Linked DNA regions of Canis lupus familiaris. The protein of the gene in region 1 interacts with the protein of each later gene in a pairwise test. Links are inferred from orthologs where the notes say so. Each region holds a gene or a part of one and is shown on either strand. Other genes may lie near its edges.

Region 1 (3,523 bases):
CAGCACTATGGAAGAAATTGTTCTTTGCTCTTTAGACAATCTTGAAGGGAAAACAGAGTATTGCTGGCAGCATCTGGCTTACCTGAATGTATTATAATCCACCATCTTTGTGTGCTTGCAGTCAGCGGCTGTAAATACCTGCTTGATCTCTCTGGATTTTGATTCTTCTTCTTTCAGCTTTTGTAAGATAAGTTCAATGCTGCTCATGGGAAACTAGAAGGGGGAAAGGAAAGGAAGGATATTAAAACATGCCTGAGACATAGGGAGCCCAATCTTTCTGATGGCCAGCAAAGAGACTTCACACTCTGAACCTGAGCACAGCTGGGCATGGCTGTCCATAGAGACCAACGCAGAGGAAATACCACTAGAATTAAATCTCTTCAGTTGCAGTTTAGGACAAAGAGCAACATCAGCATAGGCCCAGATCTGAGAAAAATGAGCTTAAGGGACAGTAAACTGCAGGAATCAGAAAACAATCCCTCAGCCTTCTCACCTGAACCCTTGGACTATGTTGGGAGACCCTAATGGAGAGGATGGGGATTCACAATTGGATAAGTGGACCCTCATTTTCTCCCGATCTCAAGAGTGGGCCCCCCTGGGGACTATTGGCCATCAGATGATGCACTGAACAGAGCACAGCTGGGTGTCAAGAGATCCATATGCACTGGAATCCCCGACCTTCACTCTCTGGCAGCCCCCAGTTCCTGTCTCCTACCATGTGATTAGGTTTTAGACTCTGTAAAAATACTGCTTACTCAATCCAGTAAAGTATAAGCTTGTAAATAATTACAGCTAAGAGCTTAAAGAGAGAGAGAGAGAGAGAGAGAGAGAGAGAGAGAGAGAGAGAGAGAAGATTACACATGAAAGATTAAAAACATTGATGTTAATTTAGTATAAAGGTCTCTCTTCCACCAGGGGGTTTGAGACCTATCACAGACCCCCATCCGCCCCACCGTTCCGCATTGCCTTTCATCTATTTCCGTGATTGGATCTATTAGCTCTTTTGCAAAGATATTAAAGAGTATATTAATCTTGGGGTCCCTGGGGGGCTCAATTGGTTGAGAGGCTGACTCTTGATTTCAGATCAGGTCATGATCTCAAGGTTGTGAGATCGAGCCCGACATCAGGCTCCGTGCTCAGTTTATGGCTTGGAGCCTGCTTAATATTCTCTATCTCACTCTACCTCTGTGCCTCTATCTCTTAAAAAAAAACAAAAAAAAAAGAGTGTATTAATCTTTTTCTGCTTAGAAAGCCCTTGTTAAGGGTAGTTTTAAAATAATGCAGTTTTCACTTGAGATGCTAATACCAGATAATGTCCTACCCTGCTTTTATCTTTCTGAAAGGAGAAAAGCCCTTCATATCAAATAGACACATATATATATACATATACACACACTATTTATATAAACTATACGAGAACATATATAGTATGTTAACATTTGCATGTATATACATAACACATATATACATATATAATACACACCTACAATACATATATACATATATAGTACGTATATGCATATACACACACACACACACACACGGATGTTAACACATAGGTTCACCCTGTGTTTGAAAATCGAGTCCTAATTCACAATAGCTATTGCAAATTGTACCCTAAGCTTGCTATGGGCCCCCCAGAGCTAAGTGCTTCACACACATTACTGCATCTCCTCTTCGTAGTTAATTCTCTGAAACGGGTCAGCTGTGTAGAGATGAGCAAAGTGGAGCTCAGGGAAAATATGGGTCTCAAGCCTCTCAGCCAGGAAGCGTGGAGCCACGTTTCCCAGCCGAGCCTGCTGGTCTCCAGCAATCTAACTGCCCTATTATTGAACCTCTTGACTGAATTCAGTGCTTTTGAAGGGCTACCAGTTCACGGTTTTACGACAAGCCCAAGTCCTAACCCTGCGAAAGGACAATCGGTGCAGCGGCGCTGGAAGGTGCTGTCTGGGCCTACTATCCAGAGAGGCTGCAGAGAAGAGCTGATGGCCCCCACCTGCCATACCTTCGGCCATACTCTGCCCAGGCTGTTCTCCTCCCAACGACAGTGCAACAGGGGCACCAGAGCTGAGCCATTCTAGCCTGACATGGCACTTCCGGCACTTCCGTGAGCAGCCTTTGCTCCCAGGCTCCACCTCCCCATCGGCCTGACTGACACTTTCTCAGAGCTGCACCGTGTCTTGAGGCCTTTCCTGCACCCACCTCTCCTTCCTTGTCCTGAGGCCTTTCCTGCACCCACCTCTCCTTCCTTCCCTCTCTTTTCTCAGGAGTCAGACCTACATCTCAGGCTCCCCACCTACTCTTGCTCCCTCCTCTTTGATCCTTCATATGCATTTCTCCCAGGACATCCCTTGTTTATTTAACTCAGCCTTGGTACCTGCTGCTCAGAGGACCCAGACAGGATGATATGATAAACACAGAGAGACTGATCTTAGCAACTTACCCTTGAGCATTTTATATAAAAATGAAACAGAACTGGTACTGTGTATAGATATAGATATATAGATATAGAAGTATAGATATAATTGGCACATAAATATTATTACTTAGAGGCAGACTTTTAAAATAAATCATTTCTAGGGATGCCTGGGTGGCTCAGCGGTTGATAGGGAGCCTGCTTCTCCCTCTGCCTATGTCTCTGCCTCGCTCTCTGTCTCTCTCATGAATAAATAAAATCTTTAAAAAAAATAATTGTTTCTAGGTGGATTTTTCACTATTAGGCAATATCTCTCAAATGTACATGTTTGCACACCAAACCGGTCCACACTTAAAAAACTCAAGATTTTATCGAAACATTAGTTTGACAGAACAGCAACACCATACTAGTGCTTTTAGGAACAGTACCCATCTGCCATATTGTTTCAAACAAAAAAAAATTCTCTGAGCTCACTGCTGCCAATTTGTCCTTGAACTCTTATTCGGGCCTCAGGTAGCTCCTGTTATGGAAAGCTGCAAGCCCAGCAATTCTCAGGTTCCCTTGGGGTTTCTGTTTGTTTAGCGCTTGGTCTTCCGTGTAGGCCTGTGCCAATTAACAGGGACAGCACAGTGTGTGGCACCAGATTTTCTTCCTTTCCTATAGCTGCTGAATTTCTTTATGAAAGCACTGTCAGCGTCAGCAAAAAAACCAGGAAACTTGATTCAACCCTGGGCTCTGCCTCCTGCCTGTGCCTGGCACCCCTGTGCTGCTGGGCAGTGCCCCGAGGACCCTGCGGGTAAACAGTAGACCGGGACCTGGGGCCAGATCCATTATTCGCGCAGATCCATTATTCATGGCCACATGTGTGAGTGCACAATGTAAAACTGGTGGCAGGATGAAGACAAAAAGGCCTGGAGAAAGAAAAACACAGACTGCAGGCACTAAGGGGCAAGTCGAGAATTACACAGCTCACCATGTCAGAATTCGTCTCCATATAGTTTAAGGTATACTCGTCGGCGTTGAGCAAAAGAAACAGGTAGCCATTCACGTTCACTGTGGCCCCAATATACAACTCCTCGGCCTTGATATATTCAGATAGTTCACTTT
Region 2 (2,497 bases), on another chromosome or scaffold:
CTCCCCGCCCTGTTCTTGCCCTGTCTGTCCTCAGCCGTGCCCAGATGTGTACTGGTTCCCCCTGCTGTCCGACCAGATGTGTGACGAACTGGTGGAGGAAATGGAGCACTATGGCCAGTGGTCAGGAGGCCGGCATGAGGTGAGAGGGGCTGGGGCAGGGAGGACTCCCCACCCCCTGGGGCAGGGAAGGTGCAGCTGTGATGAAGGGAAATGGAATCATGAGAGTCGGAGCAGGGTGGGGCCCCCAGAGTGCTGGGGACCCAGGGGGGGCACAACTGCATGCATGCATTCATTCAGAAACTCCTTACCAGGCAGGCAGGTCTGCGACACCCACCACTGAACTGGGCGCTCTGGTGTAGAGCACTTGCTTGAGCCCTGCCCTCCTGCACCTCACCTGCTATAGGCAATAGCAGGAGCCCTGCTCCTGAAGGTTGTGATGGGCAGCCCAGATGCTGTAGGAGTCACAGGAGGGGCCCTTGGCCTGGACGTGGGGGGTGACCAAGGGGCTTCCCAGAAGAGGTACCATCTTCAGGGTGAGTTAGAGGGAGTCAGGTAGAGTGGTCGAGGCTCCTAAATGCACGTCACACAAGCTTTCGGGCCTCAGAGCAGGGGGGAGCGGCTGGCATGGCCCTATTTGGGCTCAGTGCCCACTGCCCACAGGACTCAAGGCTGGCTGGAGGCTACGAGAATGTGCCCACTGTGGACATCCATATGAAGCAGGTGGGCTATGAAGACCAGTGGCTGCAGCTATTGAGGACGTACGTGGGCCCCATGACAGAGAGCCTGTTCCCAGGCTACCACACCAAGGTGAGCTGCCACCCCTGCCTCCTCCCACACCCCAGTTCTGGCTGGAAGTCTGCACATGGTGCTCCTTCAGCTCCTGTAGCATCTGGAGTCCTGAGGGAAGGGATACCACTGGATGGCAGCCCCCCGGGGAGTTCGCAGGATACCCCCAAGGGCCAAGATCCCTGCAGCCCTCCTCCCCTCCTCCCACTGGGTTGAGGCTTCACCTCCTCAGAAGCGCCCCCGCCCACCCTGTGACCTCACGGCCATCCCTCCCACCTCTTCTCTCGTGCCCCCCACAGACCCGGGCAGTGATGAACTTTGTGGTCCGTTACCGGCCAGATGAGCAGCCCTCTTTGCGGCCCCATCACGACTCATCCACCTTCACTCTCAACGTGGCCCTCAACCACAAGGGCCTGGATTATGAGGTGAGCCCCGAGTGCCCTCCCCCGTCAGGGCACCAGCAGGGCCTCTCCACACACGCACATACACACTTGAGCCCTGGGCCTCCTGACAACCCCTACACACCCTCAGGCACCTGTCCCTGGCCTGTCCTCTTCTTGGTTCCAGTTACTTCGCCTGCACCACCTCCCGGACCTCTTTCAGGCTGTGTGCCTTGCCACCACCCCCCCACCCCAGCCCACCCCAGTGCCTCTCTTGTATGCTGACACCCCAAGCCCCCCATCCAGCCTCTCACCCTCCTGTGCCCCCCGCCCCCCATCTACTGATTTGCCCACTTCCATTCCTCCGTTTCTTCCAGGGAGGTGGCTGTCGCTTCTTGCGCTATGACTGCATAGTCTCATCCCCACGGAAGGGCTGGGGGCTCCTGCACCCCGGCCGTCTCACCCACTACCACGAGGGGCTGCCCACTACTCGGGGCACTCGCTACATCATGGTGTCCTTTGTCGATCCCTGACACTCAACCACTCTGCCAAACCTTCGCTGCCGCTGTGCCTTCCTGCACCCCCCTCCTTGGAAGGGGGTCTGTCTGGCGCCTCCTTTCCTGAGCGGATGTTCAGTGTGCCTGGGACTGAATGTGTCGCCTCCCCACCCCAACACACGGCCCTCTCAGGAAGCTCCTGGAGCCCCCATGCCCCTCCCCATGGTCCCCAAAGGTTCCTGGGGAGAAGGCTTCTGGGGGCTCCCCATACAATAAATTATTGTTTCTCAGCCTCCCTCCCATAAAGGAGGATTTGTAACTCTTGAGTCTGTGTATGTCTTTCACCTCCCTACTGAGCCTGAATCCCTCCTGCCACCAGAGCGGAAGGAGTTACCCCACAGAAAAAGAACAGAGGGGAGAAGGCAGAAGCGGATGGTAGAGCAGTGTGGGAACCTGGAAGCTTCCCTGGGTCCCATTTCTGGAGGTAGGGGTAGCATGGGGAGCCTGAGAAGGGCCAGGCCCCAAGGACTTCACTTAGATTTAGGTGGAAGCCTACCCCCACTCTCCCGCCAGACCCAGCCTCTTCTCCCTGACTCTCTTGTCACTTGAGGGCATCTGTGGGATGTCAGAGCCCTGTGCGGGGCTCTGGGGCCAGTGCAAAGGGAAGGAAGGCCCCCTGGAAGCATGTGTTCTAAGGGGACACAGGAGGCTTCTAGGACTCCAGCTTTTGGTTAGGGAGGATCAGGAAAGCCCTAGAGAGTCATCCCAAGAAAGCTTCCTGGAAGAGGAGAATGTGAAGCAGCCTTGAAAAAGAGGCGAGACCTCCTGAGAGCT
Region 3 (2,225 bases), on another chromosome or scaffold:
CTCACAACTCCCTGAGATCAAGAGTCTCATGCTCTTCCGACTGAGCCAGCCAGGCACTCCTGCGTGTGTTTTTTTTAACGTGTTAAAAATGGATCAGGAAGTTGCTTCAATGAAGGTTCCTGTTCTGATTGAATTCACTGTATCCAGGAGGCAAGGTCACATCATGTGGCATGGCCACTTCAGTATGTGTGGATGCAGGCCTGCTGTTCTTAGAAAAGAGATGGTAGGCAGAGTCACTCAACTGTTTCTAATATACCCGCTTGGCTTCTGCTATAAATTATTAATGTAAACCACCTTTATCAAGTGAATGACTCATTGCTACAGAGAATTCTGTAGTCTCTTATTCCACCATCCAAAAAAAAAAAAAAAAAAAAAAAAGCTTTATGTTTCAAACCATACACTTTGGGTTCAAAGTGTTCCGGCTCCCAAGCTGGGACTTACCTGCACATAAAGATTCACCTCCGCACTTCTGCACAGGTATGGGAAGTTGCCCCCTGTTTTAAGATGAGCCCTCCGGGCATTAGGATACAGTTTATACATTTCTTCTTTAGCTTCAGTTGAAAGTGCACTCTGGTCAAATACCTTTTAAAAAAAACACAAAGCTGTAACCTACCAGTGTTTTAGTAGGTTTTTTGTACATTGTGGAAAGTGCCTTCCAAAGCATCTCTTTCTGGCTTTCTAGTGAAGAGATACCGCTGAACCCCTGGCCAGCCTGGGTAACTTGCTCATCTCTGGTAACTTCTAACTCCAACATAAGCTACAGATTTTGTTGTCAAACACCTCTTGCATTCATTGGGGGGAAAATTCTTATCATGAATTTTTTCCCCTTAAACATAGCTAACTAACTAAATTAAAAGAACAATAGTGAATGCCAATTCATTTCAAAAAGATCACTGAAATCCCCCAAACTTTTTATTTTATTTAAAGATTTTATTTATTTATTCATGAGACACACACAGAGAGAGAGAGAGAGAGAGAGAGGCAGAGACACAGGCAGTGAGAGAAGCAGGCTCCATGCATGGAGCCCGATGTGGGACTCGATCCTGGGTTTCCAGGATTACACCCTGGGCTGAAGGCAGGTGCTAAACCGCTGAGCCACCCAGGGATCCCCCCAAAACCTTTTAAATTTTATTATTACTTAAAAACAGTTACATAAGTACTATATGATCAGAAAAAAAATTCCAAAAAAAAATTTTTTTTAAGAGTATAAGAAAAAGTCCAGATCCTTTCCTGGGGGAGCCATTGTTAGCTGTTTGGAGTATATGATTCTAGACATCTTCTAATGCCCACATAAACTTACCTGTTTTTTGTTTGTTTGTTCTTAAAGATTTTATTTATTTGAGAGACACAGAGAGAGAGATAGCATGAGCAGGGGGAGAGGGGGATCAGGATCCCAGGACCCTGAGATCATGACCTGAGCCAAAGGCAGACACTCAACCAACTGAGCCACCCAGGTGCCCCTAAACTTATGTTTAAACACATGCAAACAAGTTTTCAAAAAATAATATTTAAAATGAAGCACACACACTCAAAAAGTATCTCCAACTTGCTAAAGCTTACATACAGTTTTCAGTGACCACATACCCAAGTGGTGAGCTCAGCTTTGAAAGATGGGCAAGCAGAGCAAATGTACCATGAGGACCAAGTATTTTACCAAGAGTACCGAAAAGCTTGTTCTGTGTCATAGTAAATTTTGAATGTAGAGATTACAGTGGAGAATTAGAAGTTATAATTTACATGCTTGTAATTTCCTGAAAAATCAATTCTTAAAAATATTATTTGATTTTAGCAATACATCCACTTATGAGGCAAAATAATTATATGATTAAAAAAAAAAGCCAAAACCACAATGAAATACCACTTTGCATCCATCAGAATGGCCATTATAAAACAAAAACAAAAACAAAAACAGGAAATAACAAGTGTTGGGGAGGATATGGGATGACTTGAAACCTTGTGCACTGTTGTGGGAATATAAAATGGTACAGTCTCTGTAGAAGATGATATGACGGTTTCTCAAAAAGTTAAACACAGAATCACCAATATGGCTCAGCAATTTCACCTCTAGGTATAGACCCAAAAGAAGTGAAAGTAGGTACTCAAACAGGTATGTGTATACCAACATTCAGAGCAGCATGATTCACAAGAGCCAAAAGGTGGAAAAACCCAAATGCTCATCAACAGGTGAATGGACAGGGGCAGCCAGGTGGTTCAGTGGTTTAGCG
Region 4 (3,151 bases), on another chromosome or scaffold:
CCTGCTATGCCCTCATGGAGCTGGGGATTCAGGAGTGCACCCGCTGCGAGCAGTCGCTGCTCAAGGAGCCCCAGAAGGTACAGCTCGTGAGCATCATGAAGGAGGCCATCGGGGCTGTCATCCACCACCTGCAGCAGGTGAGGGCATAGTGGCCACACAGGGAGCCTGGGGGTGGGGGCCGGAGGTGGGGTGGGCAGAGGGCCAGGCAGAGGGATGCGGTGTGACAGGGACAGGCCCAGATGCCCACTCGGGCCGATCCTGCAGCGCTCCCGGGAGTAGTGTGGCCGAGCCTCTCTCTCCCTCCCTCCCTGAGCCTCCACACAAGCACCATACCACACACCATATGTGCACTCGCATCACAGTACACACACACGCACACACACAACACGGTGGCTCCCACTCACAGCCCTCCCCCCGGTACACACGCACACGAGATGGAAGCAGCCTGCTTGGCTCCGCCTCCCGCCCCGAGTGCGGCACCTGCACATGCAACACACGCACCCCGGCACCGGAGCAGGGCCAGGGCTGCAGGGCCAGGCCTGCAGCTTCCTGGCCTCCGGGGAGGTCCCGCTAACTCCTCCAGGTCAGGGCCGCCAGGGGACCCATGAGGGACCTTCCAGCCTTGAGCTACTTCAGGGGGGACGGGGATGCGAGTGGAGTCGCAGCAAGTGTGGGGACATGTTGTCTGAAGCCCCCTTAGCTCAGCGGCGTGCCCCGAGGGCCTGCTCCGTGCCAGGCGCCTGTCGGGTGTGTGCTCACTGTGTGCCAGGTGCTGGGTGTGCAGGGCCGGCCTTCGAAGGGCTCAGGGGCTGGAATTCCCCTCTAGGTGTGGTGTTCCTAGGCTGGCTGGCATGCTGTCCCGGCCGGGGAGGGGGTCTGGTCCTGCTCCATCTCACGGGGGTCCCATGGCAACAGGTGGGGCCAGAGAAGCAGAAGGAGCCCTTTGTGTTTGCTTCGGTGCGGATCCTGGGGGCCTGGCTGGCCGAGGAGACCTCATCCCTGCGCAAGGAGGTCTGCCAGCTGCTGCCCTTCCTTGTGCGCTATGCCAAGACCCTCTACGAGGAGGCCGAGGAGGCGAATGACCTCTCCCAGCAGGTGGCCACCCTGGCCATCTCCCCCACCGCCCCAGGGCCCACCTGGCCAGGGGATGCTCTCCGGTGAGTTGGTAGTTAGAGTCTGTCCAGCCAGACTGTCCTAAAGAAAAGTGCAACAAGGGGACACCGCCTCACCCCTAGATTGTCCGTGCCAGGCTTCCCAACTGGGGCACGAGATTTCCTCTAGGATTATTTCTGGTTTCTTGGGTGGGGCTTGTTCACGCAGGACTCCTGGTCAGCCGAGTCTCCCCTGCCCACCTCCGAGTTGTCCGTAGAGAGAGAACTCGTGCTTTCCGAGCATTTACTACACACTAGGCATTCTGCTCTACCGTTGACAAAAAAAAAAAAAAAATCCCATTTGGTCCACACGGCAGATCTATGGCCTAAGGCTCATCCGCGCCTTCAGGATGAGCAAACCAAGACTCAGGGTTAAAGTAAGTGGGCCACGCGCACGCCACGTGGCGGAGCCCAGGTTCAAGCCCAGGCCCTTGAAGCACCACCGCGTGTGCTGTCTCTGTGGGGCCCACGAGGCCGGGTCCTTCACCCCCGCTGTCATTTCTCACAGGTGGGATGCCCCCCAAGAAAGGGAATCCTCGTGCCTTTGTCTCCGCACCCCTTACGCATGTGTTCCTTCCACACCCCCAGGCTCCTCCTGCCCGGCTGGTGCCACCTGACTGTCGAAGATGGGCCCCGGGAGATCCTGATCAAAGAGGGAGCCCCCTCACTTCTCTGCAAGTATTTCTTGCAGCAGTGGGAACTCACATCCCCGGGCCATGATACCTCAGTGCTGCCCGACAGCGTGGAGATCGGCCTGCAGACTTGCTGCCACATCTTCCTCAACCTTGTGGTCACCGCACCAGGGCTAATCAAGTGAGGCCGGGGAGGAGGTTGGAGGAAGCAAGGGGGGCTGCTCAGACTGTCTCACATCTGCATCTCAACGCTGCTTCCCTGCGCCCGTGCGTTCCCGTTAGTGTTAGAATGGATGGCTCTCAGAGCAGAGGCGCCCCGCACGAGGACCGGGCCTGGCCGGAGCCCCGCAGCTCCCACCGTAACCCAGGCTCCGCTCCCAGATGGCACCAGGGCCCACCGCTAGCTCCTAACCCTGCTGCCTCGTCTCTAATCCTGCCTGGTGAAACTGGGAGCCCAGGACCCCAGGTTCCCCCAGGCCTCGGTGTAAGGAACAACCCTCAAACAGTCCCCCTTCCCTCCCTGTCTCCCCAGGCGAGATGCCTGCTTCACGTCTCTAATGAACACCCTGATGACGTCACTGCCCGCACTAGTGCAGCAGAGTGGCAGGCTCCTGCTGGCTGCCAACGTGGCCACTCTGGGCCTGCTCATGGCCCGGCTCCTCAGCACCTCTCCAGGTAAGGCCTGGGGCCCCGGCCCTAAGGAGTAGGGGCCAAAGACCTGGCTGCACCTGTGGGCCTCCAGGCAGAAGTCCCTGTTTTCAGGGGATGTTTTTACAGAATTTTCCAAAGGAGAGGAAATCTCTCTGTGTCTCCGTCCCCCACTCTACCCCACCCTTCTTCCTCAAATGATGACATTCTCTTCCTTCTTGAAGACTTTTAAGGCAAGGTCTGGTGGGTGTAAGTACAGGCCTGCTCAGAGGCACAGGCATAGGCACCTGGAATCCCAGCAGCCCAAGGTGGAGCCGCCCCCACCCAGGCCTTGAGTCAGAAACCTTATTCCTCCCATTGAGGTTTTTCTCTGCTCAGCACCTCACCTCCCTGGTGACAGGCTTCAGCACTTTGCTGCTCCTCTGCACGCACCTTCTCCGCAAGCCTGCCTCACCCCGACTGTGTGCGGGGGGAGGGCCAGGCCCTCCAGCCCCTGCCAGCCCTCCCTGTCTCCCACTTCGGCCGTGGGTGTCTGCTTGGGTCCCTCTGTCCCCGCCTGTTCCCTGTGCCCCATCTGTCAGGTTGGAGGAGCTGAGCAGATGCCTGGGAACAGGGCGTAACGAGCCTGTCCCCTCAGCTGCCTCTCTGTTCCCCGCGCAGGGATCCCAGCAGAGTCTCCTGGCAGCGGGAAGGGAGCGAGGCAGTGGGCCAGGGTCAGCC
Region 5 (3,488 bases), on another chromosome or scaffold:
CCCGGACCAACATGTGAGGTCTTGTGTGTTATTTTTATAATCAGAGGACATGTCAAAGTTTCTTTCCATCTTTGGAAAACATTTCTTGATACAATGAGAAACAGACACCAGTAGGAAGCTTTCTCCCTGTATCTCTGTGAGGGGTCGAGTTACCATCAGAAGTTTGTTTGCAGATCAGGGGCGGGCCAGGGCCATTAGTCAGGTGCTCCTCAGGCTGCTTACTTGGAGCTGCCTTGCCCTGCCAGGCAGCCACCATGCCTCCTTGACAGGGTCTGACTCAACTGGACTGCTGTATGCCTGCAGGGCTGGTCAGGAAAGCCTGGCCTGGTGGGGTGTCTCTGCCCTAGAAGGAGAGGGCAGTGGGGTCCCCAGTTAAATAACACCCATCTGTCCTCATTCTCTGAGACACCACCTGGGCTGGCTTGCTGCCCTGTGGCCCTGTCCCTGCCACGCCATGCCCCCCCCCCCCCCCCCCGGCAGCCTGAGGCATGCCGTGGCCTCATTCATCCTGGTGCCTGCGTGCCACCCCATGCTTTTCACTGTCCTTCCCATTCCTTTTTGTGTTCACCTCGTTTTGCTTCTGTGAGTACATGCCACTGTGCCCTATGACAACAGCTGAGGAGACTAAGGTGGAGAGAAGTTGAGTTTCCCCAGAGAAGGGCAGCCCTGGCATGGAGCTGGGTCTGGGCAGGAGGCTGGGGTCCATACAGCTCCTTGAACCTGCAACACCACGAGTCTGGGTTGCTGTTCTCTGCTCCAGGTGCCCAGTTAGGGCTCCCTGCAGTGTCCCTGCTTCAGAGCCCTGTGTGGGTGGGTAGAGTGAGGTCATCCGCTTGGATGTTCTGGTAATTTCCCAGCAGTTTCTTGTCAAGGCCCCTGGAGAGCAGGAGGGGCAGGCGGGGTCTGCCCTGTGGTCTCAGACCTCATTTTTGCAGCAAGAGGGACAGCTTGCCAGCGATGGTATTCAGGCCATCTTGGGTTGGGCTCTGTTACTTTGAGGTTGGTATAATAAATACACCCCTCCCAAATCACAGCAAGCAAGGGGGCTCTTTTGCATCCTGGTCCGCAGATGAGACACTGGGCTTAGAGGGGAAGCAGCTGTTGGGGAAAAGAAAGGTAGTCAGAAGGTGGGTTGGGGTTGGGGCTGGGCTGGGGCCCCCTCGTCACTTAGGTAGAAAGGAGGGTCCTGAGGTCACCACCTCGCAGAATGGCCAGTAGGCACGTTTTGGGTCTTGCAGCCCCCACCTGCTCCACCTCTGAGGGTATGACCTTGTATGGGTCATGTCTTCACCTTGGGTCAGTGGGAGGCATTTTCCCACCTGAGATGGGGATGGGCAGGCCAAGTCGGGGGCCTAGGGGAGCTGACCCTGCTCGCCTGGTGTTCCCTGTGTTTCCAGGACAGTGGCCACCCAGAGACACTGATCAACCTCATCGTCCTGTCACAGCACCTGGGCAAGCCACCCGAGGTAGGGTCCCCTGGTGCAGGGGAAGTGTTCTGGCCCTCAGGGTGCCAGCGTGTGGTGGGCAGGGGTCTGTGATACGGCTCCAGCCCCAGATGAAGCTCAGCATCTTGAGCGGAAACGCATTCCTTTTGGGGGCAGGGGTGGTGGTGGTGGTGAGTGCAGTTGCATTGGCGCGAGGGGCCCTGGGAAGTTGGTGTTGCAGGTGATCCTCTAGGGCCCCACCCTGGCCCAGGCTGTAGGCCAGCTGCTCCATGGGCCCTATGAACTATGAGCTGTGTCTCAGAGGGCCAGCTGAGCTGGGATCCCCATCTGTGCCATCTCTTGGTGGAGAGAAAAGGGGCCCAGGGGAGCAATCTCTGTGAGCCCATGTTGTCTAAGGGTGGGGAGGGAGGGAGAACTCTGGGGCACCGCTCTCTGTAGGTGACTGACTGGCACAGTTGGCCAAGGACCGACCCCAGGACTTCCTGACAGTCGGTCACCCATCCCTTATAGAAGCCCCCCCCCCCCCCCCCGGCAGCTTCAGGGCTGGGGCAGAACAGCATAGACAGGACAGCTGTCCCACTCACCCCAGAAATAGCACTGGACCCCTAGTCTCAGGGAGACAGGTGCCCCACCCCCTGAGTCTGAGCTGGGCCTGGGGAGGTGAGGGGAGCTGGGAGCAAGGGCTCTTCCTGGGGTCCAGGTTCTAATACTGAGATCTCTGGGGTTTCTCTGTATAGTGTGCCCAGAACAAATTCACCTCCCCTCCCAACTCTCTTCCCCCTGACCTGCCCTCTGCTCCTCCTAGTCCTAGTCCTCTCCTAAGGTCCCTCCCAGCCTACTCCCCTGAATCCGGTGATGCATCCTCCAACCGTGCACTAGCATGGGCTCTGTGCCAGGTGCCCCCTCTTCCCTCCCCAGCCCTGGGGGTCCTCTGTCATCAGCCTGATTTCACAGTGGGGTGATGGACGTGATGGGAGACCAGGGCCCTTGCTTGGGAGACCAGGGTCATCTGGGCAGCCCTCACTTCACCCCTCCTCTCGCTCTGCATGTGCAAGCCACCTGGGTGCCCCCTATTCAACTAACCTGGCCTCTGGCCTCATTTCCCTTGCAGGTGACAAACCGCTACCTGTCCCAGCTGAAGGACGCACACAGGTCCCACCCCTTTATCAAGGAGTACCAGGCCAAGGTGAGCCTGAGCTGGCGATCTGTCCCACATCCCCAGACCCCCCATAGGCGGGGCCAGGGAAGGCCTGTGACTGAGGTCTTGACTCACGTTCTCTGTTTCTCTTTCTGCTCCCACTGTCCCCAATCCACATTGCAGGAGAACGACTTTGACCGGCTGGTGCTGCAGTATGCTCCCAGCGCCTGAGGCCGGCTGCAGGCTGGTTCCCAAGCCCGGGAACAGCGAGGCTGGGCATGCTGCCCCCACTGCCAGGCACCCATCCTCTTGTGCTCTTGGTTGCTCTGGCTAGAGGTGAAGGCTCGAGGCTCAGCCTGACCAGGGCCCCTTCTGTCAATAAATATCTCCACCTGATCCATGTCTGCCACTCTGGGAGGGACATGTGTGAACCACGACTCAGAAGGGAGGGTCCCAGGCACTGTCCCCCAGGGCTTTTCCTGGGAGGGAAGCCTTGGAGACCAGGGCCTGTGAACAGGAGCTGCACAGACTCCCCACCCCGGAAACAGCTGCCCCATGATGCTGAGCTACGGCGGCACTGCTATGTCTCCCAAGTCCACTTGACATCCAGAGAAACTGAGATAGTGACAGCCATCATGAGGAGCATCAGGACTCAAAACCAGTATCCTGGGGTGGCAAGGGAGGTAGGAAGTACTCAGGCCTCTCAGTTGAGTCACATGTGTGCAAGGAACACATGCACCCCCACCCCACCCCATCCGACCATCCCCTGCTCCTGGTTGTTGTGGCCGAGGCACTCAGCTCTCTACCTGGAGAGAGGAACCCATGGTGAGTGCCCTTCCATAAGAGAAAGCCAGGGCAGTAGCTGGCATCTGTTGTCTGGAGAGAGGGTGGTACCCAAGCAGTGG

Evidence for each region.
Region 2: the proteins of EFHC2 (region 1) and PLOD3 interact in binary tests that used the Homo sapiens proteins (3 or more experiments, as listed by UniProt). The link is inferred for Canis lupus familiaris from reciprocal best matches to the Homo sapiens genes EFHC2 and PLOD3.
Region 3: the proteins of EFHC2 (region 1) and SPG21 interact in binary tests that used the Homo sapiens proteins (3 or more experiments, as listed by UniProt). The two-hybrid records come from large-scale screens. The link is inferred for Canis lupus familiaris from reciprocal best matches to the Homo sapiens genes EFHC2 and SPG21.
Region 4: the proteins of EFHC2 (region 1) and NCDN interact in binary tests that used the Homo sapiens proteins (3 or more experiments, as listed by UniProt). The two-hybrid records come from large-scale screens. The link is inferred for Canis lupus familiaris from reciprocal best matches to the Homo sapiens genes EFHC2 and NCDN.
Region 5: the proteins of EFHC2 (region 1) and COPE interact in binary tests that used the Homo sapiens proteins (3 or more experiments, as listed by UniProt). The two-hybrid records come from large-scale screens. The link is inferred for Canis lupus familiaris from reciprocal best matches to the Homo sapiens genes EFHC2 and COPE.

The regions. Positions count from the first base shown.
Region 1 is NC_049260.1:38,421,527-38,425,049, forward strand, and holds part of EFHC2 (EF-hand domain-containing family member C2), read right to left. Parts: coding exon 3,390-3,523; intron 214-3,389; coding exon 83-213; intron 1-82. UniProt on the Homo sapiens protein: Microtubule inner protein (MIP) part of the dynein-decorated doublet microtubules (DMTs) in cilia axoneme, which is required for motile cilia beating.
Region 2 is NC_049227.1:8,584,559-8,587,055, forward strand, and holds the end of PLOD3 (multifunctional procollagen lysine hydroxylase and glycosyltransferase LH3), read left to right. Parts: intron 1-34; coding exon 35-139; intron 140-660; coding exon 661-807; intron 808-1,085; coding exon 1,086-1,211; intron 1,212-1,543; coding exon 1,544-1,699; 3' UTR 1,700-1,982; downstream 1,983-2,497. UniProt on the Homo sapiens protein: Multifunctional enzyme that catalyzes a series of essential post-translational modifications on Lys residues in procollagen. Plays a redundant role in catalyzing the formation of hydroxylysine residues in -Xaa-Lys-Gly- sequences in collagens.
Region 3 is NC_049251.1:29,781,762-29,783,986, forward strand, and holds part of SPG21 (maspardin), read right to left. Parts: intron 583-2,225; coding exon 442-582; intron 1-441. UniProt on the Homo sapiens protein: May play a role as a negative regulatory factor in CD4-dependent T-cell activation.
Region 4 is NC_049236.1:6,647,698-6,650,848, reverse strand, and holds part of NCDN (neurochondrin), read left to right. Parts: coding exon 1-137; intron 138-915; coding exon 916-1,157; intron 1,158-1,739; coding exon 1,740-1,964; intron 1,965-2,315; coding exon 2,316-2,458; intron 2,459-3,151. UniProt on the Homo sapiens protein: Probably involved in signal transduction in the nervous system, via increasing cell surface localization of GRM5/mGluR5 and positively regulating its signaling. Required for the spatial learning process.
Region 5 is NC_049241.1:44,618,527-44,622,014, forward strand, and holds the end of COPE (coatomer subunit epsilon), read left to right. Parts: exon of another isoform or gene 1-343; intron 344-568; exon of another isoform or gene 569-1,098; intron 1,099-1,397; coding exon 1,398-1,466; intron 1,467-2,556; coding exon 2,557-2,631; intron 2,632-2,718; exon of another isoform or gene 2,719-2,766; coding exon 2,767-2,814; 3' UTR 2,815-2,979; downstream 2,980-3,488. UniProt on the Homo sapiens protein: The coatomer is a cytosolic protein complex that binds to dilysine motifs and reversibly associates with Golgi non-clathrin-coated vesicles, which further mediate biosynthetic protein transport from the ER, via the Golgi up to the trans Golgi network.